Mytilus edulis: one gene and its partner. The protein of the gene in region 1 binds, or shares a complex with, the protein of each later gene. Links are inferred from orthologs where the notes say so. Each region holds a gene or a part of one and is shown on either strand. Other genes may lie near its edges.

Region 1 (16,854 bases):
CCCATTTAGCCAATTTTCATTTTAAATTTCTAATAATGTTTATTACTTTCCTATACCTGATTTATAATACAAGTTAAATTCAGATTTCACAATATCTTAACATCAATAATAATAGTTCAATATGCCATGTTCATTATGTGAAATTAATCTCTTAGAGCATAAAGTAATAAAGAATTAAGCCATGAGCGCATGATAAACTTATCGCTTTTTCAGTGAATAAAGTTCTATTACTTCTGTCACATCAGAAATTTACAAAAACAAAAGGGAGCTTACTTAAATAGATATAAACCAGTCACCAAAGCATTTTTGAGTTAAAGTAAAAAAAAAATTGAAATTCTCATTACTCAGAATTGTAAAATCTAAAATCATAAAAATAGAACACAAGCTTATGTCAAAAGATACGAACAATTCCTGAAAGTATAACTAAAAATTCTTTAAAGTGCTTTTTTAGTTATTGTCCAAATTGTTGACATTGGACAAACCAATGGACCATGGCTACTGTGAACAAATTTGAAAATTTTGTCATAAACTTGTTTGTTTATTTTTCTTGTTTTATATATTTAAATTCTATCCTTCATTAATAAATTACCCTGTGCTAAATACAGACATATTTGTACGTATATAGACATGTTAAAAAAAAAATGGTCATAAGAATATTAATCATTGTTATTTATTTATACACATGTATTTAAAGTGTAGTTTTCCTGTTTTTAAGATTTAGTTAGACTCATAATTTTCACTTAATACCATTTTTCATAACTAATAGAAAAAGAATTATTCTAGTTAAAGATGAGGTACATGTTTTCTGATTTTTATTTAAAATAAATGACCCTTTACAGAATTATACTATATTTTGTTTTACATGGGTATTGTTTAGGTGACATAATATGTGTTTCTGAAAATTAGTATTTACTGTGATAATTATTTCTCTTTTTCTTGAAAAATGACCTTTGAAATGACATTCTATAATCATAAGTCATTCATTGTTTAATCATATAAACAAATAACCCCTACACAAAAAGCAGAAATCTGTTAAACTGCCAGTAATTGAACTGCATATGCACATGTTCAGCTGTGGTCTTTTTTTACAATTCCTTGCAAAGCTCCTCTCCCTTGATCAATTGAGACAGGTTCTATAACATGGGGAGATAAAGGAATACTGTTTGCAAGATAACTGATAATCAACCAGAAACCAAACATGTCTTGCCAAGCTGGTGCAGTGAAAATGGTTTTACAACAATCCATCCTTTCATGTATTTTGTACTGGTTCAAGAGAAGCGCAAGTGGACTGTTATTTAAATTTATGATGGAATTAATGTATCTATTTTAATAAAAACATGACTACAGCCCAATTGGTGCTTTAATAATATGCTCAGAGTTAGTTTTATGCATTTGGGGGAGGTCGGAATGGTCCTGATCACGAAATCCTGGATTTAGAAACATGAAATCCCGACATCCCTAAATAAGAATTCCCAGATCCAAAACGGTCAATCCTGAAATCCCACCTTAAACCCCCCCCCCCCCTCATACATAATGTGATGTGTATTTTCTTATCTTAATTTAAAATAGCATGTGTCTGAAAAAAAACAGTTGTATGGATTTGTTATATTATCCCTCCCACCTCCTTCCATTGGAGGGCCTCCAGTTCTATACAATTTAAATTTCACTTCTGAATCCTATAGACCTATTTCTGTTCCTAAGTAATTATCTCCCTTCTGTAAAGACAAAAAGATTGATAATTATCCATATATAATATGAAAAGCTGATTATTAATGATTGATTGTATCAATTTATATCATACTTAGTGTATCAGTCTCGTCTATGATTTCTGACTGTATAATCTCCTCAATAACATCCTCCAGAGTCAGAACTCCAAGGGTCTCGTAAAATGGGTCACCGTCACCTTCACTGTTCACTCTACGGATCACGGCCAAATGAGAATGACCTACAAAATCAGTATAAAATATAGTACATAATACCCTTTTACACATGAGTTACATTGGAACTATGGCTGTCTCTACTTTTATTACTGATCACTGTTTTGACGAGGTAAAGACAATAACTAAGGTTTATCTTGAAGTCTGAAAAAGTATATTCATATTTTATGTTTTTGCTTTCAACAAATGTTCAATCTTTTCTGTTTCCAAATCATCCAGCTTTTTTGGTGCATTTTCATGATTTTCCTAATTTCCTTATACATATAAAACATCTTTCAATCCCTAATTAAAAGTTCTTTAAGCAGTGACAGATCCAAAAAAGGCAAAGGGGGGGGGGGGGGGGGGGTCTTAGGGATTGAAACCCCCTTTTTTCATGATCAACTGCTTTTGAATGGGGATATACAATGTATGGTTGAAACCCCCTTTTAAAAAGAGCTGAATGAACCAGTTATCATATTAAAAACATATACAAATGATATAATATACATATACTGTAAGTACTGGTCAAGGTTATGTCATAAGTACATGTATGGACACTGATAAATGAAGTGCGCTATGTAACATGTAAATAATGTGATGTGGATATTATGTATTCATGCCCGAGGCCTTGTTTAGTCTGTCTATCATTTTATGTAAGGTCATCAAATGACAATTCAGACCTGTTAACTGATTTTTTTCACTGACAATTATCAATAGACCTGGTACATGTACATATATGTGCCTCCTCATGGGGTTTTTGGTGATGTAATTACTTGACTTATTTTTTAATGATTATTTGAATACCAGACAAAATATTTCATGATTATTTAATAATCTAGGACTGTATTTTTGATAATTTGATTTTGTTTTAAAAAAATAATTCATTATTCTGTGATTATAAGATTACTTGGACACCCCATGAGGTGCCTCATATATATTCCATTTGTCCCTATTGAGGTGAATTATTTAGAAAACTGTCGCCAAAAGCAACAAATGAAATAATAACATGTCAAACATGCATAAGGTCATACAATGTACATGTGATCAGAATTTTTGGAACATGCATAAATGTTATGAAATATATTATATATATATATATATATATGCAACATGATGTTTTTAAATAAGTTTAACCCATGTGAATGTTCAATTCATATGAAATGTGGTTTTACATCACGCATGTTCATGTACAATGTATGTCAATAAGGCAAGCAAACAACAACAACATACAGAATGATATCTAAATAGGTTAACATACAGTCCTGAAAACACTTAAATGTGTTAACATGTATTTTTATTAAGTAGAAACATTCAAAAGTTTCTGTATTTGTGAAATTGCCATGTTAGATAAATCATTTGTCTTATGTGAAGCCATCCCCATCAGTCCCTCATCCTGCATGTCCTGAATAATGACAAACTATCAGAACCAAAAACACCATTTCAGAGAGGGTCCAGAGTTTGACCAATTAAGTTTTATTTTGTTGGAAAAAGTTAATAGATACATAAACAGTACATTTACATGTACAAATGTACACTACAGCTCGTGTTCTTTATTTTTTTTATTCTAGAAATTATTTGCGTTAAAACAACATTATAAATAGGAAAAAAACACTGTAGGCTTGTAGGAAATGTTGTATTCACAAATTAGCTCATGAGAGTGAAGAAATACAGGCAATTGTCTTATCCTATTTAACAGTCTGCACGGTTAGCCACTAGTCCGATGCCCCAGACTAGTAAAATTTCATTCGGACTAGTGAGTTTTTGCAAAACTTTGTTTGGCCAAATAAGAAAAATGTCAGAATATTGCTCTTCGGACTAGTAGTTGAAAAAGTTTTTGGTGCAGACTTTTCCTATATCTGAATAGTATATATAAAAAAGCATTTGTATTGCAGACTGCAAATGTATTCCAAGGATGTATATACAACAAACTGTATATTGTATTGCAATGTGTGTTATTATTGACAGGTCATAAAGTACAAATGTACACACCAAGTATAGCAGGTCAGACAAATAGGAGATAAAACAGATATTATTTATATATTATGTAAACACATCCATGACATTTTCCTATTTATACAAATGATAACAGTATTAACATGTCTCTAATGAAGACTGTTTATCAATTTATCAATTACAAGAAGAAATGCATGGAAATAAATAAAATATACATGTATAAACTACTGACAGTACTTGTACTGCTGAGTCACATCATTTCATAATTAAAAGTGTAGTTTATCCAGCTCAATAATATGAATCAATAGTGATTTTCCATCTCAACTTATTGGGAATTTTCAGTAAAATACCATTTTTATTTGAGGTTTGAAGATGATGAACAGCTGTTTTACATCCAGCAACAAAATAATCTGCATGCATATTTAGGACAAGAACATGTTAATGTAATATTTAGTACGAGGTAACAGTCTGAAGGAAGGCATGTCAATGATGTCACCCTACCCAGACACATTTTCCTTACTCCAAGCCTACATTTGTACCTGTCTTTGCTCTCACTCCTTAAAACTGCAAGATCAACAGAAAAGCAACAAATACCACTTTAAAAGACTTTGGTTTGACCTTGTACAGGCTGAACCTAATTAATGCAAGAACTCCCACACTTGTGGCGAAGATGCTACATTTTTGTACCACAAGACCACTGGAGCTGTATGTACATGTAGCTATAATGTGCATACACAATGTATATGTTTTGAACCTACAATGTATTTGCATACATTTTTGTGTATATGTACATATTTTATTTGTACATGTACAAGTATCCCAATGGCAATGCAAGTATACATGTACATAAAATTACCACCTACATGTACAAATGTAGTCATAACTCACATCTTTGAATACATGTATGCATACATGAACAAAAATATAGTAATAAATGTTCATGTTTGCATACAAATATATCTAAATATATTGTTTTGCTCATATGGAGCTTGGGATATATGCATATAAATGTACATGTACAATGTACATGTAATTATCATTACCATGAATTTGCATATGTTTTTGTATTTTAGAACACCTACATGTATGTGCATTTAAGTGTACATACTTTGTATATAAATGTTATTACCTTGTCTGAATTCAGTGAGCATAGCATCTAATTTGAGATCATCAAACACATAGATCAATGGATGCTGATAGAATTTCAGCACAGTTTTAAGTTGGGTTTTATCATCAGGGTCAATTAAAGTCAAATCCTTGATATTTAACAAATGTACAATGTTTGTTTTATCTCCTTCATATACAGGAATACGAGTGTAACCTCTCCTTTGAATTTCAGCGATTGTTTCAAAATCTAGTTTACTGTTTATATCAATCATGAACACATCTTCAATTTTAGTCATGACTTCTGTAACTGACTTCCTAGTCAATTCTAACGCCCCAGCTATTATATTTACTTCATCATTTTTAAGTTCATTGAAATCTTTAGTTACTCTAATCAATTCTTGAAGTTTTTCTCTGTCATACACATGTCCAATTTCTTCGCCTAAAATTTTGTCTAGAAGTAAACTGATTGGGAAAGATAGCGGAAATGTGAGAACCATGAAAATTCTTGTAATCCATATGGTTCTTGCTCCAACAGCTAAGCCATGTCTTGAGCAAACAGCTTGTGGTATAATTTCTCCAAATATGACAATTCCCATTGTGGCTGCAATAACAGCAATTAATCCATTACTTAAATCATCCAATAAAATTGTAAGAGAATTATTTACCAGTACATTTCCCAAGAGAAGTGTGCACAACAAAAAGTTTCCCCTTTTTCGAACTGGGGAAATTGTTTTTGCATATTTCTTTTCATTTTTGGACCCACAGCGTTCAATAATTTTCAGTTCTGTTTTATCTAACGCCATCAGTCCTAAATTTAAACCACTAAATAAACCTGATAAAACTAACAGAGAAGCAATAATAATAAGTTGCATCGAGAAGGGTAACATTGTTGTTTTTTCTACTCTGACACGGACATCTATTGTTAGAAATTTGTTTGACCCCTGATGGATCCATTCTGTGGATTTCTGCGGATTTCTTAAACAAATGTAATAATGCTGTCCTCCACCCAGATGTTGAAGAGACACTGACACCGAAGAAAGTACATCACTCTCAACAGTGACATTGAAAATATTGGTTTCCAGAAAGATTCCACAGGATCCTGTAACATCCTTTTTAGTAGTAAATGCCAGCTGTCCATTCTGTTTAAACCCATCAAAATGTTGGCCTACAAAAAATATATTTTGAGGTTCATTTGAATAGAGTAAAATGCTTCCATCATTATTAATTGTGCTGTCAGGTTCTCCCGTAACTACAGAGACAATTTTAGGAGGTTCTATCTCTCCTATACCTACTCGTAATATATTGGAATCTCCTTGGTGTACCCAATCATCATTTTTTTTTGAACAGATGTAAAGATACTTGTTTGTTACATTTCCAGATGATAACTTTGTATTTGGAATCTGTTCCAAAGTAACTGTAACAGAGGCATACTGTCCATCGGCGGTTGGTATCAAATCAAATGACTTTGTCCTGTCGTAATCATCACAATTACCACTTGGGTCTTTTCTTAAAGTGAATGCTATCTGGGCCTGACCTTTTTCCACTTCGGAGAAGTTCGTTCCGACCAAAAGTAACTTATGTGCAATTCTTGGATAAAGCAACAGTGTTCCAGTCTCATCTCGTATATTTCCAGGTTCCTGGGATATAATCCCAAGTATTTCTGGTGCATTTCCCTTTACTTGACCTAAAACTGCGATGTAAATGCTCAAAATAAACAGTAAACTTTTTAGAGTCCTGTTGACAGTTTCACCCATTTGTAAGATTTGTTGCGGAAGTAGACTAAATGTCGGAACATATCGGTTTATTTTCTTTCCGGAAAAAAAGTAGGTGATTTCAAATTGATTGCAATAAGTCCCGAGACGAGACTAAAATTTAACCAACGATTAGTTAAACATGTAGACTAGTACACTGATTTAATCATATATGTTGCTTACATCTACAAAGGAAGTAACAAGAACGCCACCAACTATAGAGGGATTAGTAACTTACTATCATCAGAGACATATATACACATATGTGTATATATGTCTCTGCTATCATGCCAATACTGCTGAAACTTATTGAGTCTGTAGCCGTGTTGAAAGAGGGGGCAAGGGGTTTAACTGTTATGCTGTTATGGAGCAATTTAATTCTTTTTTATCTGTTATTTTGAAAATATATTGGCTGTAAGCTGTTATTGTCTTATTCTTTGTTAGCTTTTATTGGGCTATTAGTTTTTTTGTTATCTGTTATTGTGATAATGTATTTGCTGTTAACTGTTATTGAAAATTGGAATGTTAGCATTTTTTTTTACAGTCAATATTCGGTATAAATTGAATATCATTGGACATTGGGGTCTACCACTACTAATATGTTTGTCCCGTATTCAGAGAAGGATTCCATTAACATTTACCCATCACAGAAGTGAGGTCCAGAACAATTCAAGTATATCTTATGATTATCCTTTGTAATAATTCCATTTTTTATGAATGTGTATTTAGAATTATCTTAATTTTTTGTATGAGAATAATGTTCCTTGTTTCCCGTACGAACATATTAAATTAAAACAATTCTTAATATGACAAAAAGGAAAACATATGGCCAGGAATATCTGACAAGGATCTCAATTAAGGACTAGGTCATAACAACCAGTTAACCTTTTATATAATATGGTACATAGACTCAGCTCTGTGAGTCTTTTCAAAGCAGAACCAAATGCATTGTACAACCATGTACTTGGGTCCGAAGCTGCACATAACTCATTACAAACAAAGATTTCTTTCGTTTCAAGCCATTGTTTCCCTACTAAACTATGTATTCTACTTACTAGTACACTTGGTACAATCAAAAACCTCAGCTGATAAAAAATTGTTCAAATAAGGTCTTTGAAAATAGTGGAATAAATTGCTTTTGGAATGTCAAAATTCGTTCGAAGTACTTGATAAATTGCATGCTTATAATTGGTGCTTTTGATTTTGCTATCCTATATACCACTTTTCCTCATAGTCTTATTAAGAAAAATTCACACACCTCATTAAATGGTCATTTAGAAAAAGTCAGAATATTCAAACTTTTTTAGGTCATTTTTTTGTATTAGCAACAAAGGGAGCTTCAGTCAATATATATAAACAATACACCAACGTTTCATAAGAACTGCTGAAAGCATTTTTGAGTTATTTTTGATAACTAGAAAATACCACCTTTTTCTAATGAATAAAATCCCTTAACTCAATAACATAAAATCTAAAATTAATAAAAATCGCAAGGGAGTTTACAACAATAGATATAAACATTTCAGCAAAGTTTCATGAGAACTGCAGAAAACATTTTTGTGTTAATGTCTGAAAACTGAAAAATCCCCCTTTATAATTAATAAAACCAGTTAACTCGGAAGCGTGAAATCTAAGTTTATAAAAATTGAAAGTGACCTCATGTTAATAGATATAAACAATTTACCAAAATTCCTTGCTTTGTGAAATTTTTTTTGGAGATATTATCAGAAAACTGAAGAAAAAAAAACACCAATTTTATTGAATAAAAACCCATTACCCAGAAAATTTATAAAGAAAACAAAAAGGGAGTAAATAGATATAAACAATTTCTTAAAGTTTAATGCAAATTGGTTAACGAGTTTTTGAGTTAATGTCCGACATGTTGACAACAGACGGACAACAGTATACCATAATACGTTCCGTAAACGAGCGTATAAAAAATATTATAATATATTGAGTAGTAATTTAAACACATTCTAGATACATAAATTAATACTAAAACCATAGTCATAGAAAATGGAATGCATTACAAAGGATTATATCCGTAATAAGAAATACTGATTTGTCAAAGACCGAATTATTTTAATATTTCATTTACTGTTATCTGTTTTTGTCCATTTTAATTCCTTGTTATCTGTTATGAGCCAAATCAATTTGCTGTTTTGCTGTTACTGGAACCCCCCTTGCCCCCCTCTTAAAAGGCTAAGGTCCAACCTAAAATATTGAAAGAACAAAATAGGCTACAAAGAGGATTTACTGAGAACTCAGCTCCAATGAACTGCTCCTTCTTTACAGAAGAATTTATCAGAGAATGCAGGGATGCTGGTAAAATAATACATATCATGAGCGTTTCTAGATGCTAAATCGGCATTTGATGTGGTAACGCATTAGAGTATCCTAAGAAAGCTATGCATAGCAGGTGTAGATGGGCTACTATAGAAACTTATACAAAGTCTTTACATGGACTCTAGCAGTGTAGTTAAATTTAATGGTTTAATATCTGAACCATTCTCAATGTGTCAAGGCGCCGGTAAAACAAGGTGGTATACTGAGCGCCGACCTATCGTGTGACAAGCTGTACATCAATAATCTCCTAACAGATATCAAGCACTCAGGATTGGGAGCAAAACTAGGATCCATTTGTTGCGCAGCTCCGACTTGTGCAGATGATGTGGCACTAATGAGCGACAACCCTGAGGAACTACAGGTACTTATTAACATAGCATACAACTACAGTCGAAGGGAGAGATATAAGCCTCAACCAGTGAGGAGTGTTATTTTGCCAGTCACGGTATCCAAATCGTAGAAAACAGCAAGAACCTTCCTTCCCATGGAGTATAAGTAACTCAATAATGCTAATAGTTAGCCAAACAACCCATGTGGGGGTCTTACGCACATCAAAACCAGATGATCCTAATCCGTTGTATGAAAACGTGAAAAAAGCTAGACGAGCCATGTACAGTCTAATGCCAGCTGGTTTGCATGGGGAAAATGGACTGGACATACAATCCTTACTACATATATTTAACATCTATGTCATTCCTGTACTTCTGTACGGCCTGGAATTAGTAACTCCTACTGAAAAAAACTTGGATATTATTGACATATTCCACAAAAAATTAAGCAATTACTTTCTTTACCAACAAGTACAGCTACGCCCGCCATATACATTCTTTCTGAACAACTACCATTGAATAGAGGGCCAAATACATAAAAAGATCTAGACAATCACATAATAGTTTAGAAAAACAAATTGGATATAGACAACTACTTATGAAAACGGATGATAGTCACAGCTGGTTTATTATTGTTAAAACGATTCTAGCGAAATACAACTTACCATCAGCTTTATATCTATTAGACAGTCAAATTAAAAAAATAAAATGGAAGACCATCGTAAATAAAGAAGTATCAAAGTATTGGAAACATGTTATCGAGGATCATTGTAAGCTGTACCCCTCACTAAAGTATTTGAATAGTCAATATATATACTGTACTGAAGTTTGTACTCGTTGCCTTCATAAGGTGTTTTACAGATTCGAAACGTCCTGACACGTTACAACTCATCACTGTAAACGTATTATGACCAACCATGAAGTCATTCTGTTTAGTAGTACTTCACAAAAGTCTTTTAACATATTGATTTTTTTTATCTGCGAATAGGAAATGTGCAGATATAAGGAGATGTGGTATGAGTGCTCAGTAATGAGACAAATCTCAATCCAAGTCCAAGTTTGTAAAAGTAAACCATGATAAATCAAAGTACGGTCTTCACCACGGAGCCTTTGATCAAAAGAGCGAAGAGCAAACTATAAATGGCCCTAAAAACGACTAGTGTAAAACCGTTCAAACGGGAATACCAACAGTCTAATCTATATAAAAAGAGAAACGAGAAACGCTTATGAACCAAATCAACAAACGACGGCTACTGAACAACGGGTTCCTGAAGTTTACCAATGGGTCTTCATTGCATGTCCGTTTGATTATATGTTAGTTTAATTTTATTTGAAAAAAATATTCTAATTAAGTTAACCTTAAGGGTAAGGCAAAAACGAACGAAACGCATCTAAAAAGCAATCATGCAATCATGCAAGAACAGCACATTACATTACAGGCCTTGTCTCAGAAGAAAAAAATAAGGAATATAGGGAAAAAATAATCTGAGACAAGTGCCTGTGCATTACATATAGAGACTTGATGGCACAGCTCAAGAAAGAATATAACGAACTTGAGATTAAGATGATCGCAATACAAAGAATTCCAAGAAAGGCACAAAGACAAGTGTATGCCTCACAGAAAGATACAACTCGACAGAATCAGAAAATTATGAAAGCCTCGATCTCAGATAAGTAATTTATTTTTCAACTTAATTAGAATGCAAAGAAAAACGCTTATATGATTATTCAATACAAAAATGTGATGATTAGACTGCAGAAAATTGACAGAAGGCATACTAAATATATGATAAGAGCACTTCCAGCAGGTATAAATTCCTACATTTGAACCATATTTTGAAACCGATAATTAGAAGTAATATGAAAAATGCATAATCACATCATTGGAAAAAAACTCTGAAAAGGGCTTTGTACTGACAGTGTAATACTGTTACATACTTTAATCATTTTCTGTGCTTTATTTTGTAATTCATTTGATTGTATAGCTCAAATTTTGGGCACCATGATTGGTTAATAAAATTATCTATCTATCTATCTATCAACGAAAGAGATGAATACAGCCATAAAATATGCTAGATGAAGACAGAATATCAACTTCAAACACTATAAGTATGGAATGAAAGTATGGAATGAACGAGTTAATTCCCCATCGTTGTAAATGTCATGGAATTTGATGCGACTGTCATTCAAGTTAGGTTTAGCGCTATAAAGCCAGGTTCAATCCACCATTTTTTTTACATTTGAGAATGCCTGTACCAAGCCAAGAATATGACAGTTGTTGTCCTGTCTTTTGATGTGTTTAATCATTTGAGTTTGCCATTTGATTAGTGACGTTCCGGTTTGAATTTTCCTCGGAGTTCAGTATTTTTGTGATTTTATTTTCTCTTTATGATTCATATAATTGTGCTTAATATAATTTGAAAATATATATTTAGATATTCAAATCCAACCATCATATCAATGGGACGTTTAACACCAACAAACTCTGACTGTAACAGTGACATTTATCAAAATACCTAAATGAATACCCAAAATAGACATTGACACCATTCATTCTACAGAGGGAGTATCGTCCTACTAAGTAACAGCCTTCCTAACATCAGAAACAGTTGAATGAAACAATAAACATGATAAAGTGAATCTCAATTACCCTCGACGCAGGGAAAACAGTTGATAAACTGAACTGTGGAATCCTATTCAATTAGCTGTACTATTATGGAAAAGATAGGAACAGTGAATAAACTCTTCACTTTTTTTTATATAGAGAAATGAGTATTAAGATAGAATATCCAGAAGAGGTTAATGTATTGCAACGAACACAATTAACAAGGCGCAAAATCATCAACTGGTCATATATTAAGGCAGCAGTAGTATACATGTGTTCAAAAGTCATAAGAAAAAACAAATCCGGGAATACCAGTTCCAGCACCCATTCATGTGGATGACATTGCATTCTAGCAAATAACATAGATGATGCACAAGGAATTCTGGATATGGAATTGGACCACACAAAAAGGAAATTGGCTAGGATCAACCCAGAAAAATCTAGAGGGAAGCTGTATACAACAATGTAGCATTAACAGGACCACTTAAAAAATCTAAAAGAGCTTGTTGTGAGGGATTTTTATTAAGTACAGAGCATAATACTCTCTGTACACTGGACATCAGATTTAAAGTCCCCATCCGACGGACAAACATGGATTTAATAAGAGCATAATAAAAGCACTGACAATAGTATAACTTCAATAAACAAAAACATAGGTCCATCTTACTGATGTCATCTTCTAAACGGCTACTTGTATATGATAAGCAAATTCCATAGTTTTAAGTCCTCACGGATCAGCTTGTTTTCCGTTGTCATGGTGCAAAACCTTTTTCCAGATGTTGGTTGTTCTACTTCCTTCTCATTCTGGTTAAACCTTCTGACAGTTATCTTTTCAACCAGAGATAGTGAAGGTTCTGCGGCTGGCGTCCTAACTTGAGCCATGACAGTTGCTTCAATAACATTGGTGATATTGGTGGCTACACACTACGTGTCCATGGGCGACGAGTAGAACAGCGTTAGTTGCCGAAACATTACGAGTCAATTTGAGATGAACGAGTTGGTTATATTTCAAAGGTCGCCTATGGTGTTTCCAATTGTTGCGTTTGTCCTCGGAACTATAGGGGGATTGTGTCGTAGCTTTGAAAATCCATTCTGTGGTTGCATTATACTTCTCAACAAGCTTCTTCTTTTAAGGAGACACTAAATGCGCTGGTGTTGTTGCAGCAATGATCTATAGATACTCCTTTTTGGACGGTTCTTCAATTACAAATAAAAGTGTCCCGGGGTTTTGCATTTCCTGTTTAAATATATGAGCTAGGTACCTGGTGATATATTAAAGTATATAGTGTAGGCAACTGTGGCATTGTAAACCAGCCATTATTTGCTCCATATTCAACTCGAAAGTGGCAGGTTCACATGGCCATTGCTATTTCTTTGAATTTGAAAATGTCGTGGTCAATGTCTTCTTATTCAACCTGCCAGCAACATGAACAAAGATCCATCGTTGAAAACCATATGTTCCCGTCAAGCTGATCTATGGTTGAGTCTATGCTAAGGAAGCCGATATGTACCATTAACCGTCAAATTGTTTAAACGACGATACTAGTAGTTGACACAAAAACGTCTCTCTTTTTTTCGAGAATGGTACTGGATCGGATGACTATGGACCTTTTCTTGGCTCTATGAATCCTGCCTCCAACATGTCATCAATGTGGCGATCTATTTCGCATTTCTAGGATTATGTTTGCACCTGTACTAAGTCAGGAATCTCGTTTCTCGTTTTTTATATAGACTAAACCGTTGGTTTTCCCGTTTGAATGATTTTACACTAGTTATTTAGAGGCCCTTTATAGCTTGTTGTTTGGTGTGAGCCAAGGCTCCGTGTTGAAGGCCGTACATTGACCTATAATGGTTTACTTTTATAAATTGTTATTTGGATGGAGAGTTGTCTCATTGGCACTCATACCACTCCTTCCTATATCTAATAACCTCTCCAATAAATGTCATTACTTTGACATCATTCTTTACATTAGAACGTGCCAACGTGCATTATAATTGTTAGTTAAAGCAGAGACATATAATATTACTTGTCTCTGTTTAAAGTTAACACCTAGTGCGACAATTAAGCCCCAACTTCCATAATATTGACTCCTATGTTGAAACTTCTTCTTTCCGTCCGTTTTCGTCATCATGTAGTGAAAAAACAATGACCAAAACGCCTCGCCTCTGCTTTCGTTTGTGCTGTTCTACCCTGGTATGCCACTGCTCTTTCGGACATTTCACTTTTTAGATTACCCCAATCCAACTGAAGTGCTTAATTCCTAGTTGAAAAAGGCTTCCATCAAAGTCAATATCTCCTCGCTTGAATCTTTTTTCTTTTAAGTGCCACATGTTGCCCGCAGTTGACCTCTGTCGGTGGCATATATCGCTGTGTTGAAGACCCAGTTGTGGCCATGGGCTGTTTCTGCTCTTTGATGAGGGGGGGGGGGGGGCAAGAGGTTTAGCTGTTATGCTGTTATTGGACATTTTAATTCTTTGTTATCTGTTATTCTGAAAATATATTTGCTGTTAGCTGTTATTGTCTTATTTTTTGTTAGCTGTTATTAAGTTTTTAGTTTTTTTGTTATCTGTTATTGTGATAATGCACTGGGTTCCAAAGCTGCAAAAAACTCATTACAATTAAAGATGTATTTCAACTTCAAGCCATAGTTCCCCTATTAAACTATGTATTCTATACTTACTAGTAGACTTGGTACAATCAAAAACCTGATAAAAATGTGTTCAAATAAGGCCTTTGAAAATAGTGGAATAAATTACTTTTGGAGTGTCAAAATTGGTCCTACTTGATAAATTGCATGCTTATAATTGGTGATTTTGATTTTTCTACCCTATATACAACTTTGCCTCATAGTCTTATTCAGAAAAATTCACACACCTCATTAAATGGGCATTTAAAAAAGTCAGAATGCGAATATATATATTCAAACTCTTTTAGATCATTTTTTAATAGCAACAAACACAAGAACTATGTCAATTGGACCCACTTTGATACCATAACTGCCCTTGAATTTTTACTAGATATAATTTTTGTCTCTTTGACATATTCCTCATTTCCATTCTCAATTTTATTACACATTATTTAAATTACAAACATGTGTGAGTTTCGATATTTGTACAAAAATAAATGCTGAAAAAAGTATTCCATAACAAATAAACAGCTACGCCATGAGTGCATGATACGCCCGTCACCTTTTTGAAATATTCGATAACTTCTCAATGTCATATCAGATATTTATAAAAATCAGTCAATATATATCATGTATATAAACAAAAAATCAAAGTTTCATGAGAACTGCAGAGAACATTGCTGAGTTATTGTCCGAAAACTGGAAAATACCACCTTTTTTAATGAATAAACCCCTTAACTGAATAACATTAAATCGGAAATTAAAAAAAAATCGAAAGGGCGCTTACAACAATAGATATAAACAATTCAGCAAAGTTTCATAAGAACTGCTGAAAATGTTTTTGTGTTAATGTCCGAAAACTAAAAAATTACCCTTTTAATTAGTAAAAATCCTTAATACGGAAACGTAAAATCTAAAATTTATAAAATTGAAAGGGAGATCATGTCAATAGATATAAACAATTCACTAAAATTTCTTAAAAATTTGTGAATGAATTTTTGAGATATTATCAGAAAACTGAAAAAAAACCACCATTTTTTTTAATCAAACCCCATTACTCAGAAACTTAAAATCTAAAATTTAAAAAAAAAACGATAGGGAGCTCACGTCAATAGATATAAACAATTTCCCAAAATTTTATGTAAATTGGTTAAAGAATGTTTGAGTTAATGTTGACGACGGACGGACAAGAATATACCAAATACATATCTAGATACATAATTTTGAAAACCATGTTCATAGAAAATGGAATTCATTACAAAGGATTATACCCGTAATAAGAAATACTGGATTTGTCAAGGACACGACTTATTTTAATATTTCATTTACTGTTATCTGTTTTTGTCCATTTCAATTCCTTGTTATCTGTTATAAGCCAAATCAACTTGCTGTTTTGCTGTTATTGGGACCCCCCTTGCCCCCCCTTTTGATCAGGTTGTTTGACACATTTTCGGTTTCTATTCTCGATTTTATTTCAGCCTTTCCGCTTTTCGCTGTAGGCCTTTATAAAAAGCTTCTATTCAACACGATGCATATGGTATGGTTGCGGTATGGTTGCAGTTCTTATTTCTGGAATGCTTTATCTCCTTTATTCTCCTCTTATATTTAATGCGTTTCCCCCAGTTTTAGTTTGTTACCCCGATTTTGTTTTTTGTCCATGGATTTATGAGTTTTGAACAGCGGTATACTACTGTTGCCTTTATTTATCCTTATTCTCATCTCAAAGTCCACCAGGCATCTTAAAATGTTCCCTGGTTTTACCAACCTTGCTTGTTGTGTTTTGGGTATGCACTGTTTACTGGACGTTTTATTGACTATCCAAGTTAGGGCAGGCTTTCGTCAGCTGTCTATCGCTTCACGTCAGCTATATTCTGTAAAGTTTGGTTCGGGGTCGAACACTGCTCCTACAAAGCTTTACAAATATACCATATTATTTCTTCATATCTATTTTCTATGTGTTCGAATTTGTTAATAAGTTTTCAATGCAGATAAAGGCTACAGTAGTATAACGCTGTTCAATAGTCATAATTCGATTAAACAAAAACAAATCCGGGTAATAAACGAAAAGCGAGGTAAACATCAACTACTAGCGATGGAAAACAACGGAACAACACAGAAACACTGAACTACAACAGAAGAAAACGTCAACATACGTAGTACTAGTAACGGACTGTAGATAAGAGCTGCCATATTTTCCTGAATTGACACAGGTCATTTTCA
Region 2 (16,065 bases), on another chromosome or scaffold:
TCCGACATCCTTATAATTTACGGCCATTCTAACATTTTCACAATAAATGCCCATAAAAGGAAAACAACAATTACATGACAGCCCGATACTGCAGATAGTGAGACAAGTGCACTGTCATACAATGCAGTGAATACAATCAAGGTTTATCTGTAGACCAATCGATACAACATGCACAACTACACACCACTTTAATTCACCTGTACTGCTGATGAAGGGGTGAATGTCCTCTCTTCTAATAGTCCTATATTGATGTGAAGGAATGTCACTTTTAAGCACGACTGGTTATTAAACTATTTGATGTATTTGTGAACATCATATTTATTGTTGATGTATATATGTTGTTATACATGTACAATATGTCAACTGAAAATTTCAGTAGAAATGTGGTGAAGTCCTATTTCATAAATTCTGTACACATCAGTCACATGAAAGAAGATTTAAATGTGGGTTTTTTTCTGAGGCAGAATGTGAAAGTAAATCTATACATACATGTAGACATAGTTTGGGGAAATTATATAATTACAATTTTGGAAAAAACTTCAAGACTTTAGAATCACTTCTAATTATCAGATTATGACTTCATGCATGCTTATGCTAAAGGAGATACAATGTACGTGGGTACTGACCAAACAAAGTACAAAACTTATTTGCTCCTGAATTAACCCAGAAACATTGAATACTCTATATTTATTTATTTTTAAAATAAGGACTAAGGCACAACAATTGTAAATGTTCTGAGTTCAGTAATTTTTAAATAAGGAAGCACAACTTTATTCTATTTCTCATTATTTGATGTTATCCATCACTGATAACAGAGGTATCTATATTATGTCTCTGCCATCTCTTAGCAGCATTATAATGAAAAAGTACGATGATCATGTATCTTCCCCCACTTCACAAAAATTCTTCATCAGACATCTGCTGCTTTTAATTGATCTCTATGTAAAACATATCACATACCTAAAGAAAATATTTCATTCACAAAATGATAACATATTTACATAGACTGTCAGGTAAATAAGACACACCTGTATGTAACCTAATGACCTTTATCAAAACAAACAAAATGTCCCCTCGTATATCACTCAGATATTTATTCAAACATTTAACCAAATTGTCTCTGCAGTGGTCCTTCCAAAATTAAAATTTTAAGTATTCAAGAAAAATAAACAACAATATTATTGGTATTTACCTGTAAACATGTGTATCCTTGGAGGAAATGAGAAAAACTCAGTTATCATTGGAAGATTTTCTGGCTAACCACTAACAATAGCACTATCACGACTACAGTAGTCTGTAGCATCCAAATCATTTACACTTTATACTTCTATAGACTAATGACATTCATGGTGTAACATGTACATGTAGATAAACACACTGACTGATATTAGAACCATTGTTTACAACTCAGCTCATGTCTATACTTTTTCTTCCTTAATAATTATATCAATTGTCACCTATGCATTATTTTCAGTAATATTCTTTTAAATATCAGATTCTAGCAGAAATAATATTTGTCCATTGGGGAAAGAGTAAACAGATCTATACATGTACAATGTACAAAAGTATTCAATAGATAATCAGTTAATGTAAATACAATGTAATGCCAAGACATATATATATTAAAAATTTAAACAAGTAATAAATCACTAGCCTTGTTTTGGGATAAGCTGGGCCTTTGGACAGAGCCCAGTCTATATAGAAAATATAGAAAACATACCCAGACTTGAAGCAGCAATTTTCAGTCTTAAAATCCATGAATTACAAATTCAACCCATACAGAGGACAATGTTCTAATAAATAAGTTCACTTGTCTGGCACTTATTAATAAAGTTGTTATATACATGTAATTTAATAAAGTTGTTATATACATGTAGGATAATAAATTGAGAAGGTACTAAGCAGTCTTCACGATGAACTATTAAATCTACAGGCCCGGAGCTCAATTTTTAATTTTTTAAAGTTAGATTCTGTTGGCCTGGGCCTAAAATAAAATTTCATTTGTTTGGCATTGCCGCCCGACCTACTGAAAAACTTGCCGCCCAAATAATTTTATTTGCGTTTCAGAAATTTATTATTTTTTATTTAAAAAAATCGAAATTGTGCCGGAAATTGATCGTATCCACCGAGTTTGTTCCTGGCTTTACTTATTTCAAATCATGATCTTAAAAGCGCTTGCCTTGCACTGTATTTGGAGCAAACATTTAAATGACATGGAATAGAAAAAGTCTGCCAAAAGTAATGTCAAAGAGGCCGGCAGGGGAAGGCATCTCCCTATGCTGCAATGCATTGGTTAAGGGAGATGGATTTTTTATCAAAAATCAAATTTCAGCTATTCTTTGAAAGAAACGTTTTGAGAGACCTTGTAGAGGACTCAATTTTATCTTTTGTAAAGCAGAAACAGACGATTTCTGCTTGTTTTTGTCGCTTCATGAGATAGAAGTTTTTCACCGGGACATCACAGAACAAATATGCGTGGCTCTTACATTTGATGAACTTATTAAATATTTGAAATTTATCATTGACAAATTATCCCTTGAACCAGAGAACAAAGTATCTACTATAGTCAGAACCACAATGATGCATTCAAGATAATTATGGCTGTAAGCACCAAATCTTAAAGACCATAATGATTTACAGGTTTATAGTAGTTTTGTAGATGCTAGCCTGGAACAAAACATACATATTTTAAAGACTAGCATCTTGTGTCAATTGAAGTACTTCCCCCTTTTCTTGCCTTTCTTCTTAACATGAATAGGATAATTCTTAAAACATAAAAGATACTGACAGAAACATAATATAAATGTATCCAGTGTACTAGTGATGAATAAAATCCCCTCCTTTTCCACAATTCTAAGGGCTCATTAATTTATCTGTATTCATGTAATGCATGTCCAGATTTCTGTTAATCAAACAAGCATTACAACCCATAATTTATTTATCTGCAAAAATTGTCTGTCCTGCTGTATATTTCCATTTTGAATTTATCATACGTTTTAAACCTATCCCTGAAAAACCTTGCACTTGGATAATATTAGTATAAACACCATGTCTATTTGTGCCAACCTTCCAAATTTTTAATATTTTGCTATCCTAATTTGGAACAGATCCTTTATCCTCAAAACTTATCAGGGGAAGTAGGCATGTTTGTATGGTAGTTCGTCACACCTTACATGTATGATTACTAGCCTCCAGGTATTGGTTTGAGCCCTACATGTAGTTGGGCAGTTGCAAAATTAAGGTTTGATTTTCATGTCAGATGTGATAAGGTTAGTCAGTTTCCTCCCACAGGTTGGCATTTTCCTTCAAGTACTACGGTTTAGTACGGCACTAAAACTGACTGCCATGAAATTACCCATATGGTGTAGAAAGTGATGTTTATAAAACCAAAGCAAAGTTTTAAATCTTTGTCCATTTGTACAAGGAGCCGTAGTGGTTGAGCCATTTAACTTATGGTAATTTTACCAAACTGTGACCACAACTTCAAGATGTTACATCAGGCCTCTGTTCAATGGGCAGTCCCACAATAAAAGCTCAATTTTCACGTCATACATTTTATATGGTTAATTTGTCAGTTTCCTGCCTCAGTTGTTTTTTTCTGGGTACTTTGGTTAACTTTGCCAATAAAACTGACTGTCTTACGTGAAATTATCCATATGATGTAGAATGTGACATTGATGGTTGACCCCTTTCAAAGAAACCACCAGCATGTACACACAACAATGCTGCAATGCTTTAGACAACATTGATCTGGAGACTTCATGATTTACATGTATAAGGCTTTTAAATGTAAAAAAAAATAAATCCCTACCTACCTACCCACCTGCTGATAGTGTGGGTCGGCAATGCCAAACAAACAATTTTTAAAGGGTTGCCCTGTAGATATGATTTTTACAGGCCCGAGAGCAATTTTACTAGCCTGGGCTGCCTGGGCTGCCACTCAGTGTGAAGACTGACTAAGGCAGTCTGGATTAGGGGGGGGGGGGGGGGGGTCTGTTATTCTGTAAACATTTAATTTCACCCCTTTTTTCTCTAATCTTCAAAAAATTAACCCCTTTTTTCTCTAATCTTTATTTTTTTTGCCCGTTATTCTCTAATCTTCATTTGTTAAGGGCATTATTCTTTAATCCTTTAACCCCATCCAAACCCTCTACTAAGGTAATGATATTGATCCAAAAACTCAAAAGTTCAACAATATTTGTTTATACATTGTACATGTAGCTAAAATGTTTTACACAATTTTAATTCATTTACAATACATCACTAATCAATAAACTGATAAATTCAGCTTATAATAGATTTGTTTAATTACACAGTATTACAATTATCAGAGTTTTTATCTCTAATAGTGTGGGTGACATGTCCCCTAAACACTGTTTATTTAGCAATGTGATTATACATGTTTAATGGCAATTACATTTGACAAATTTGTTAATACCCTGAATTACAAAACACTGACACGAAAATAGATTTTTTTTTCCAAACTGATTCAAACAAAGCTGAGAAATAAACAAAGTATCCAAAATATTTAGCCTACATAGAAATACAGGGGGGAATGAAAAAAAACAGAAGTAAAGAAAAGTATTGAATGGCGAACTTATGTTTTTTCTTTTCATCATTTTAATCTCTGAAAATGACTCTTTATATGTCTCCATTTTATCTATGTAAGCATTTATCAATAAATCTATTAAATTGAAAATACAATTATGACAATGGGACTTAAGTATTTGTTGTATAAATCAGCTTAGCAAGAACATGTGCCTATGTTCAGTGAACTGTGAAATTGGGGACAAAATTGTAATTTGTCATTGAACTTTGAAAGTTCACCTCATGTTATAATTTCCCTATAAATTACATTTCTATGGTCATTGGATCACCTTTATTTGACATTCGTTTTCACAGTTCTCATCATAATGACTATGTGTACTAAGTTTTAAGTTTAAATGACAGACCATAAAACATAAAATACTTTTCTTCTTATTGCCCATTACCAGTCACTACAACTGCAGGTGGGTATGATAAATTGTATTGCCAGTTTTGGGGATATTTTCATCCCAGGGTAATATGATGTCCACCTAGTATAAATTCCTCAATATAAATTAATTATGAGTTATCTCCCATTGTAAGAAAATCTATCTGCATTTTAAATACAGTTGTAGTAGTAAGATAAATTGACATAAGTTGCTTCATTTACATTAAAAAAACAGTACAAGTGATTCTAAAAAATAATAAGTCTGAGCAAATGACGAATAATTATTAAAATTTCTGTTGTTTGAAATCCAAGAAGTCCGGTTGAAAATATTGTTAGATTCAATTTTACATTTGCACATGTTCTTGACTCTTGTATGAGGATAGTAATGCCTTTTAACGTTAGGAGTAAAACAGTCATTTTCAGCTACCGGCATTCGCGTCAAATTGGTTAAAATCTTACAATGATTCGTCAAAATATCCTTAACATGATTTGTTAGAGGTCACAAATAATTATCGTTACCCTCATTTAAAAAAAAAAACATGATTCGTCAAAATCAGTCAATGTTTTTATCGTCATACACCAAAAATTACTGTTAATGTCATTTGGCAAGAATTTTTACTGTTATTGGTTATACAGGTACCCCCATTACGACCCTCTTGTATGTATCAAAAATAACGAAAAGGGGATATTACTTTTATCTTTAAAATAGCAGTGCTTACCTGATGAATGCCAAAAGATCAGGCTAAATACAAACATGTACAGAAATTGAAACAAAACATTTTCCTGTTCAACTTCAAAAATTTTGTCACAGAATAAACTTTTGATTTCACATTATGACATACAAGGAGTATATTGTGCAATCATAAAAACTTAAGGTCAATTATGTAATGAAAGATAAGTCCCAAAGTGGAATTCTTTATCAATGAATCCAGTGGAGTAAAAACCAGAATTGGTCATTATTGTTATCTTCGACGCAGATTTGGGACTTTTTACTTCACTAAACAAATAATAAAACAACAAGAAAATGGTATCAAACACCATTCTTTTCATTTTTAGTTTGGAGGTATATTTCTGCAATATTCATCAGGTATTGTGTAATTTATAAACATAGGAATTTTAACTTTCAATTTCGCTTCCTACGCATGAAACACGCACCAGATGAATGAATGGGCAATACACAAATTTCCCATCTGGGATCCGTTTCTCGTGATTGCGAAACAATTTTCAATGAAAGACAAGTTGACAATTCAACTTACCAGTATATTCCTGCACATTGATCGCACTCAACGCTTTTACCTCGCTCTTACAGCGAGACGGTACAGAAAAATGGGAAATCTAAATGTTTTCACCTCTACACAACCGCTCTCAAGCAAGTATGGCTGTCAGACGTGTGACGTCACGAGTACATTGGGGCACAAGGGGGGTAATATTGATTTACAGATGTGACTAATAACCAGTGAGTCACTTGTTGATGAACAGGGACCTAATTATACAAAGCTATGACAAGTCACCGTTAAATAATGAAAACTTTCAAGCAAATATGCTGATGAGGAAGCCAATAAAAATAAAATAAAATTGAAGGATTCTTCTATAAATTTGTATTTACAGATTGCATTATTAATTTAAGGTGTACAGTGTATCATTACTATATATTTTCTAAGATAGAATTTTCTTTTAAATAGAGATATTGTCTTGATTCACGTTAATATTATCAAAAGTATAGATCACTGTGCTATTTTTTTCTAATTACAAGTAGCACAAAATTGCCCAAATTTGCATATATATTATCAGAGACATATAATACATTATACATGTATTATATGTCTCTGATATTATTCACTCTTTTTTAAATATTAACTTCAGTTGAAAAGATTATTTTTTTTTATAAAATTCGAGAAGGAAAAAATATATAAGAAATTATGTCACCAAACTTATTTTCTTATAATGAATAAAAAAATTAATTGTTTGGCTAACTTTACAATCATGTTTAGAGTTAGTTACCTCCCCTTACATGGCCTTTTTGAGAGAGAGAGAGAGAGAGAGAGAGAGAGAGAGAGAGAGAGAGAGAGAGAGAGAGAGAGAGAGAGAGAGAGAGAGAGAGAGAGAGAGAGAGAGAGAGAGAGCATAATGAATATCTGTTAAAATATCATATAAAATACAACAAATCACTTATTTTTTTCTTATTTAAAAAAAACCGCCTTACACAAACACTAGACTAGTGTACACCAGCTGAAATGTCTCGTATCATTTGAGTCGACAACATTTTGCTTAAATATGGTGTAAAAGTTTGGGTTTTTTTTAAATATAAATGATTTTGTCAAATCTTAATGAAATTTTACGAAAGTTGGACAGAAGCTTTTTATTCTCAAAAGATTATACAGACCTTGAAATGATGAATTTATATTTTTAATTTTCCCGTATTCTACTGATAAAAGGAATTTCTGTTTGCATATACAGTCTGTAGTTGAAGTTTGTTGCACTTCAATTACTTTGTTAACCCTTCATTGAATTTTATGAAACTTTTGCAGAAGTTTTTTTGTGATTAATGTCTGAAGCAAAACTTTTGAAAGTATATTTTTTTTTATTTTTCAATTTACATACGGACTTATGTTTTAGCAGTTTACAGACTCTCTGTGATTATTATTTTTTACATAATGATTTTGAAAACCTTCAGATGTTGTCATGAGACTAGGGTAGAAGTTAATATACCAGATCAAGAAAAAAAGATCTTAACGGATTGAAATGTTTGATTATTTAAAATCCTATTATAGACTGATAAAAAGATTCAATTTTCGCGGGAAGCGGCAATCTAGCGAGAACCACGGTTTCACGAAACCCTTTACGAATTTTCATAATGCATCTAAACCACCGTGTATCATCGTACAGCGGATATAGGTACTAACCAAGCGGGCGTGAGCGATTTTGATCTTACACGGTAACGAAAATCTTTGTTTTGTTCACATAATATCAATGTGTACTTCAATCTAAACATAATTGCTATTTTAAGAAATGATTTGGTCGTAGGTTAATGGTTAGAGATGTCTCATTATTTTCCCAAAACAAGAGGGATTACTTAAACATTGTAAAAGCATGTGCAAATACTTGTCAAAGAAGTTGGTCCTCGTCTCTTCCGATATAATTCTATATTCATTGCAACTCTTTTTCTGATAGAAGGTCAATATGTGTGTGTAATAAGTATTGCTGTTTCAATAATTGGCATTGAAATCTTTCATACATATGTTATTTTTCGATATTTTATCCCTAAAAAAGTGTTGTGTACGGTATTTAGCTAACCGCATAAATCCTTATGTACGGTGCATAGTTATGTTGTTGTACACCGTACACAAAAACATTATTTTTATACTCGTTTATTACCCAAAATGTTTCAAGGAATGAGTAATCACAGATAGGTTTATGATTGGTGACTATTACTTTTGCCCTGTATTAGGTTTCTTTCAGATAAAACATGTAAATGTCTCAACAACTGTATCGAAATTGAAAGATGGTGTTGACTTTCACAACTATTTGCGCTTGTACAAGTTAATTGTTCTTATTAGAATATCAAACTTGTTTTATGAATAGGAAAAAATCGATGCAAAAATTATTTGGGAGCAGGAATTTCAAATGTTGAGAAATGTACATTGAATATTGTTCAAGCAAAACAAAGATTTTCGTTACCGTGTAAGGTCAAAATCGATCATGCCCGCTTGCTTAATACCTATATCCGGTGTACTGATGATACACGGTGTAAACATCTTTGCAAATTAATCATTTCATATTCATTAACGACATTTGCACAACAATGGGCCTTATCTCATGGTCCCTTTAAACATATGTTAAAGTAACCGGTTTGGATATTTACTCCAACACCAATGACCATTAGATTTCAAATCAACACAATGAATACATTAAATATAAAAGATAAAAAAAAGTATTCTATAAGGTATGTTCAACTTGCTATTGATTAGTTTTTTTTATAAAAGAAATGCCCCCTTTTCGAAACCCGCTGCTAGAAGGTGTTAATTACGGCTCTTTACCGTAGATAGCGAAAATGAACGTCAACACGTCTACTTTATCTTTTATAGACAATGCAAGAGAATATATCTTTTATAGACAATGCAAGAGAATATCCATTTACAGATCTAAACTACAAAAAAGACAATACAAGCGAATCTATACATCTTCTGTGCATGGTAAGCAGATCCTGCTCCACATGTGACACCCGTCATGTTGCTAATGTTAGTACAAAAAGGACAATACTTTGGCTCTTAATGGATCTATTACAAAAGCCTTACTTTTTTGATAAAATAAATCACTTCATATATAATAGAACATTGTTAGCTTCTTAATCACCACATTTAAGATATATTGTCAAAATGCGATGATTTTGTACACTTTTCGAACGCAAATGCTAGAGGAAACCTTTGGCTGCAACATAGGATCCAAAATGTTCTGTAACCAAAAGTTGCAAATGATGACATTGCATGAATCTCTATACAGAAATATTTTCTTGATCGTGGATGGCGCGGCCATAGTATATATAATAAACTGCTAAAAACGGTTTTAGAATTGATTGAAAATTTGACCAAATCTGACGTTACAACATAATTAATTAATGCATACTTCTAGAGTCAAAATACTTCATCATTTTTCATGTCATATGCCAAAATGAAGTTATTTTGTATTAATAGTAATATCACACTCATTTTATGTGAACTCTGTAGTATTTTGCCTGGATTAAAAAAAAACCATCAAAAACTTAGGGCCTTTTAACCCTTTGTGAATTTACGAAGAGGTGGACTTGGAACTCTATAGGTTTGATAGCTTTATTGTATATACCTGCAGCAACTCTCTATCGAGAAAATGTCATGATAGGAAATATTCGGTCAGATATAATGTATCAACTGTGAGATATATACTCCGTATGGCATGCAGTCCGTATGTAGGCGCTTCTGGAATGTTGCTACATAGAAATGGAAAGTATACAGTTTGGAATTTAGTTGAGATCTATACCGTCTTGAATTGATAGTCATTAACATTTATTTAAAATTGAAAATGGAAATGGGGAATGTGTCAAAGAGACAACAACCCGACAATAGAACAAACAACAGCAGAAGGTCACCTTAGTTTATTTTACTATACTTTTAATATTGTAATAGAGAGCTTGACATGATGTACCGTATGTTGACCTATGAAGTCGTCTTTTGTGTTATTGTGTTGGCTTGCTGTCTCGTGAGGTAAAACAAAGACCGTTTTTTCATACTTATTCCTATTCTACAATAAATAACGAGCTCCCAAAAGTATTAATGGTCACATTGTGGTTTTTTTTAAAGATTGAAATAAATAATTTCGAGTAGAAAATTCTCGTGTCTGGTAAACCTGCAAAATGTGGTTGCAATGATATGCACAGTCCTAATCTATATGAACTTATAATTCGGTCAGGAATCTGATGGTCGGTATAGTTGTCGTTTGTTGATGTGGTTTATAAGTGTTTCTCGTTTCTCGTTTTTTATTTGGATTAGACTGTTGGTTTTCTTGTTTGCATGATTGTAAACTAGTCATTTTAGGGCCCTTTATAGCTTGCTATTCGGTGTAACCAAGACTCTGTTTTGAAGACCCTACTTTGACCTATAATGGTTTACTTTCACAAATTGTAACTTGGATGGAGAGTTGTCTCATACCACATATTCTTATATCTATTATTATATTTTAACAAAGTGAAATACGAGTATGCTTGGAGAGGCAACTACATATGATCTCTTACTGTCGACTGTCCACCTTTATGAATGTGTTACCGAATCCTAAATGGGATATCTTTTGTAAATGAACTTAAGCAATATTCTATATTTAGTTTCAGTAACATTTTGCCTTTTACCTGTTGATAATCTTTATAAGCGACTCCCATTTCCTTTTTTACAAATCCTAACAACTTCTAGAAAAGGTGGGGGGATAAGGGATTCGTTAACATGTTAACAACACTTAGATTTTGGCAAAAACAGTTAACAAAGTGGGTTGAAAAGTTAACAGCTCTATCTTATCTCAGATAACAGTTAACAACACATTGAAAAGGGCCAACACAGGTTAATATAAAAAAGGTATTGCCCCTCCTACTAGCTTATACCTCTCCCAGGGGTGAAGTTGTATTCAAATCAAGCCAGGGAGATTTAAAGTACCAATGGGAAAGCATTTTAAAATCATGTCCATTTTCGTACTTGTGAGAGTAACCTTGACCTTTAATTAGTTGATCCCAAAGTCAATAAGCTTCTTCCTTTCCCCAAATTAAGTTTCGTTCCAATCAACAAGTGAATTTCTAGTAAAAATCCAGAAACTGTTTCTCTGAAATTTTCTATTTTGATTTGTAACAGTGGCCTTGACCATTGATTAATGACCCCAAAATCAAAAGGCATCTTTCCCTTTTTCTAAGTATTAATTTTCATATCAATCAAACAAGAGATAGTCAAGTTACCATCTGGGAACCATTACCTCTAATTAAGCTCTTACATTTTTAATAATATCATTTTGGTGAAATAAACCATTTGAATAAAACTTTTCAAAATCATGTCAACAAACAGAAATTTAAAGATTGCTAAAACAAGAATGTGTCCCCAGTACACAGATGCCCCATCCAAACCATCATTTTCTATGTTCAATTGACCGTGAACATCTCTAATTTGGCATTATAATTAGAAAGGTCATATCATAGGGAACATGTGTACTTAGTTTCAAGTTGACTGGACTTCAACTTCATCAAAAACTACCTCGACCAAAAACTTTAACCTGAAGCGGGACAGACGAACGGATGAACGGACAAGACAACTAAACGAACAGACGCATAGACCAAAAAACATAATGCCCATAAATGGGGCATAAAAAAACTTTATATTTCTAATTGCCATTACTACCATCAAGTGTTTTTAATCAGCACCCATTTTGAAACTTTAATGAAATAATTCATATACACTTTCCAGTCCAAATTTCACCAAAATTTATCATTTACAGAAAGGTGGAAGATACCAAAGGGGTAGTCAAAGGGGTTGTCAAAGGGGTAGTCAAAGGGGATACCAAAGGGGTAGTCAAAGGGGTTGTCAAAGGGGTAGTCAAAGGGGTTGTCAAAGGGGTAGTCAAAGGGGTTGTCAAAGGGGTAGTCAAAGGGGTAGTTAAAGGGGTAGTCAAAGGGGTTGTCAAAGGGGTAGTCAAAGGGGTTGTCAAAGGGGTAGTCAAAGGGGTTGTCAAGGGGTAGTCAAAGGGGTTGTTAAAGGGGTAGTCAAAGGGGTAGTCAAAGGGGTTGTCAAAGGGGTAGTCAAAGGGGTTGTCAAAGGGGTTGTCAAAGGGGTAGTCAAAGGGGTAGTCAAAGGGGTAGTCAAAGGGGTTGTCAAAGGGGAAGTGAAAGGGGTAGTGAAAGGGGTTGTCAAAGGGGTTGTCAAAGGGGTTGTCAAAGGGGTAGTCAAAGGGGTTGTCAAAGGGGTAGTCAAAGGGGTAGTCAAAGGGGTTGTCAAAGGGGTTGTCAAAGGGGTAGTCAAAGGGGTTGTCAAATGGGTAGTTAAAGGGGTTGTCAAACTCATAGTTAAAACCAAATTGACAATAACATGGAAATACAATAAAAACCTCCCAATAAAGAGTCAGCAAAACACAACATAGGAAACCAAAATCTGACCAACACAATTCACTACAAATAGAACATATCTGTAATATACATTCACAACCTTTATACTACTTTTGATCACAGTGATTAGTTTTGCTCAAAAACTGTAGCAAATATTTCCAAAAAGGATAAATTGTTCAAAATGTCCGTAAAAAAGAGATTTATTTAAATGTTTAAATCACCCATCATGAAACAGATTTTCCATAATGGTCAACTAAATTGTGATGGCATCTGTAAAATATATGTCGTGATGACTTTAATTCACCACCTGAAACTTTTGTTGAAATATATATTTTTTTTTTATAGTTTTGGGAACGATAGAGCTAACAAGACTGATGGACAAATACATAAATAGGGATATTTTCTTGATGTGTTGAAGACCCATTGGTGGCCTTGAGCTGTTTTCTGCTCTTTGGTTGGGTTGTTGTCTCTTTCACACATCCTAAATTTTATATGTGGTATGATAACCACTTAGATAAGTACAGTATCTAATATAAAATAATTTAATTTTGGATGTAATGTGTCTTTTGATTGGCTGACAGGGTTTTGTTTATCACCTCATAGACATAATTCTATAATGTGTCTGATTTACCCCAAATTAATGAAATTTAGAATTAAATTATAAGGAATGACTGTAATATTTTTCTGCCTATTTGAAATAACATAAAAAAATGTAGAGCACACAGGTTATTTAGTGTGCACCACATTTTTTATGTTATTTCTTCATAGACAGAAAAATATTACAGTCATTCCTTACATAAAGGACAAAGATGTCAACAATTACAAGAAAATCTATGTCTTTCAACAATGAGCAAAAACATCTAATAGTAAGCTATAAAAGACCATAGTATGAAAAATTGAGAAACAATTCAAAAGAGAAAACACTTCAACTAATGAACAATTACAACTGACAGCATCTATTAACAAACCATAGACCACAAATTCCTAACCTGGTCTACTTTTTTGCCAAAGGCTGAGTTGCCAGAGCTCAGTAGTGCAGTGGGAGTATTGGACTTGACAATTCATGTCACTAGAGCCTTCTTTAAATGATGTCTTATTTTCATTATAGGACCACAGCTTTTTAAAAATACACAAGCTGCTCTTATAAATCTATAAACTTTGAAAAACTCAACTTTATGGGAGTTTTAATAATTCCAACTTCAATTTTATTTCATCTCAATAAAATCACAATAAAATAAAAAGACAAACATCCCAGTAACATCTTTATTTCAAAATAATAAATCAAATTGCAAGTAAAATAAGAAAACAAAAAAAATAATAGATTATTAAAGTCAGAAAACTGACATGATAAACAAATACAACATTAATGACATCAAATCTTCCAGATCTGGTATTGCTAATTAAGTAATAATATTTACACATAAATATAAATGTAAAATGAAATTCAATCATGGCAGCTACTAGCTAAAGATTTCTTCTTAAGGAAATCTTACTTAGGAAATTGAAAATTTCATCAAGTTTGAGATTTTTGATTTTGGAATCTAAGGGCACATTTATTTGGTCACAATTTAGCCAATTTGTGTTGAGGTAGTGTAAAGCAAAGAGTAATATACCACTATTTGTTTTGTACTAAATATATTTCCGTTGACCTTATTGGATTTCAAAGTTATTTCCCTTTGCCATGACATTGTAGGGAAACTTATACCTAAGTTCAATCAAGTTCAACTTCTTTTAATGACTGCTTAATTTTAAGAAAAACCTTTCTAGCATGGTTCTTTTATCATAATTTCTTGTACTATTTGTTTAAATTTGGTTACCAATTGTCAAATAAGAAAATCAACCAGTTTGCTTTCCCTCATGGCCAAAAACGGAAATAACTCTGACTCAAATTTATATCATTGGGAATAATCTATTATGCAAGTCCACCTTTATACTACTTCTGATCACAGTGATTTGTTAAGCTCAAAAAGTGTAGCAAATATTTCCAAAAAGGATAAATTGTTCAAAATGTCCGTAAATTTTTTTATTTAAATGTTTAAATCATCCAGCTTTAAAAAAATTCTCCACATATATTGAAATTTCAGACGTTCAAAAATTTCCTTCACCTGACATATAAATGTGAAAACATTATAATAGCTATATGGTGCCAAAATTGAAAATAGAAAGGTAACGGAGTAAACCAATGTTTTAAACTTTTAACCCTTTCCTCCATGGATTTTTTTTTTAAGGTATTTGATTCGCATAGGATTTCTTTCGGTAAAAAAAATTCATCAGGTTTAAAGTGTTAATGCATTGTGAAAACAGATATTTCATCAATGAAGTATAAGTCAGATATTCTCATGAATCTCCTTTTCATATTGGATACAATTTTTCAAAAGTCTAATGGAGAAATATAGGAGCCAAAACTTTTCAACTGAGGATCTACACAGGCGTCAAAGGGCGTCATTATGGAGTAAAGGGGGTGGCGTCTTAAGGTGTCATTATGGAGGAAAGGGTTAAACAACTGACATCAGATGACTTACTGGCATACAAGCATGATATGTCAAATCCATCTCATATTTGATGAAAAAAAGTAAATATGTTCAAAACCATATCATTAATTCTAACATATTTTCAGTATTGTGACAATCAGTATTTCCCATGTACATTAAAGGTTTATATAACTACATGGTTAATTTTCAGTACTGTCAATGAGTATTTTTAAAAATGTACATGAATGGTTCACATAAAACAAATTTTTTACATGGTTAATTTTCAGTACATGTAACTGCAATAATCAATATTTAGGATGAGCATGAAAAATTCATGTAAGAGAAATGTTCTACATTGGTTGATTTTAAGTACATGTGTCAGTGTTAAGAATCTACATGTATGGTTCACATAAAAAGAATTTTCTACATGGTTAGTTTTCATTACATGTACATGTACCAGTATATAGAATGTACATGTATGGTTTACATAACACAAATTTTCTACATGGTTAATTTTCAGTACATGGATTGAATCAGTATTTAGAATGTCCTTGTATGGTTCACATAACAGAAATTTTCGAAGTGATTTTTTTCAGTACTGAATCAATAACTATTTTAAATGTGAATGTATGGTTCACATACTAAGAATTTTCTAAATGGTTAATTTACATGTACTTTATTCATCAGTATTTAGAATGTACTGTGTGTATGTTATTTATATTTGGTAAAAAATCTTTCTAGACCTTATGTTAGCATTGTAATATGTGAATCAAATCAAAGTAAAAATGTTGTATTTATATGGTTAATTTTCACCAACTCTTAGACCTATGTAGGGTTCAAATCCTTTTAAAAATAAGATGGGACAACAACAAAATGTTTTCAATATGTCACAAAAAACGATAAGGTCACTAACAAGTGGTAAATAATCTCTAATAAAAAAGTTTATCGCTATTTTGTGCATTTTATCTTTGATCATTTTTTTGTGACAATTTTTCATATCATGCTACTCGCTTGAGATG

Evidence for each region.
Region 2: the proteins of unextended protein-like (region 1) and protein tyrosine phosphatase type IVA 2-like are in contact, whole or in part, in a crystal structure (PDB 8CT8), measured with the Drosophila melanogaster proteins. The link is inferred for Mytilus edulis from reciprocal best matches to the Drosophila melanogaster genes uex and PRL-1. Residues at the interface, in NP_001104390.2 of Drosophila melanogaster: Leu391, Val422, Thr423, Lys442, Cys445, Glu446, Gln449, Asn450, Pro451, Phe454, Phe456, Asp458, His480, Val482, Asn484, Gly488, Asp489, Pro490, Phe491, Tyr492; in NP_001260487.1 of Drosophila melanogaster: Asp32, Ile33, Thr34, Ile35, Asn36, His37, Asp77, Gly78, Cys109, Ala111, Leu113, Gly114, Arg115, Arg142, Arg143, Gly144, Ile146, Asn147, Gln150.

Annotation. Positions count from the first base shown.
Region 1 is NC_092347.1:7,280,229-7,297,082, reverse strand, and holds the start of unextended protein-like, read right to left. Parts: upstream 6,761-16,854; 5' UTR 6,731-6,760; coding exon 4,999-6,730; intron 1,946-4,998; coding exon 1,802-1,945; intron 1-1,801. UniProt on the Drosophila melanogaster protein: Probable metal transporter. Acts downstream of PRL-1 and protects the nervous system against olfactory carbon dioxide stimulation.
Region 2 is NC_092355.1:3,877,527-3,893,591, forward strand, and holds the start of protein tyrosine phosphatase type IVA 2-like, read right to left. Parts: upstream 6,387-16,065; 5' UTR 6,229-6,386; intron 5,830-6,228; exon of another isoform or gene 5,692-5,829; intron 1,543-5,691; exon of another isoform or gene 1,193-1,542; intron 1-1,192. UniProt on the Drosophila melanogaster protein: Probable phosphatase. Inhibits growth possibly by negatively regulating Src64B-induced growth. Regulates central nervous system circuit formation and stabilization of synapse-dense terminal arbors.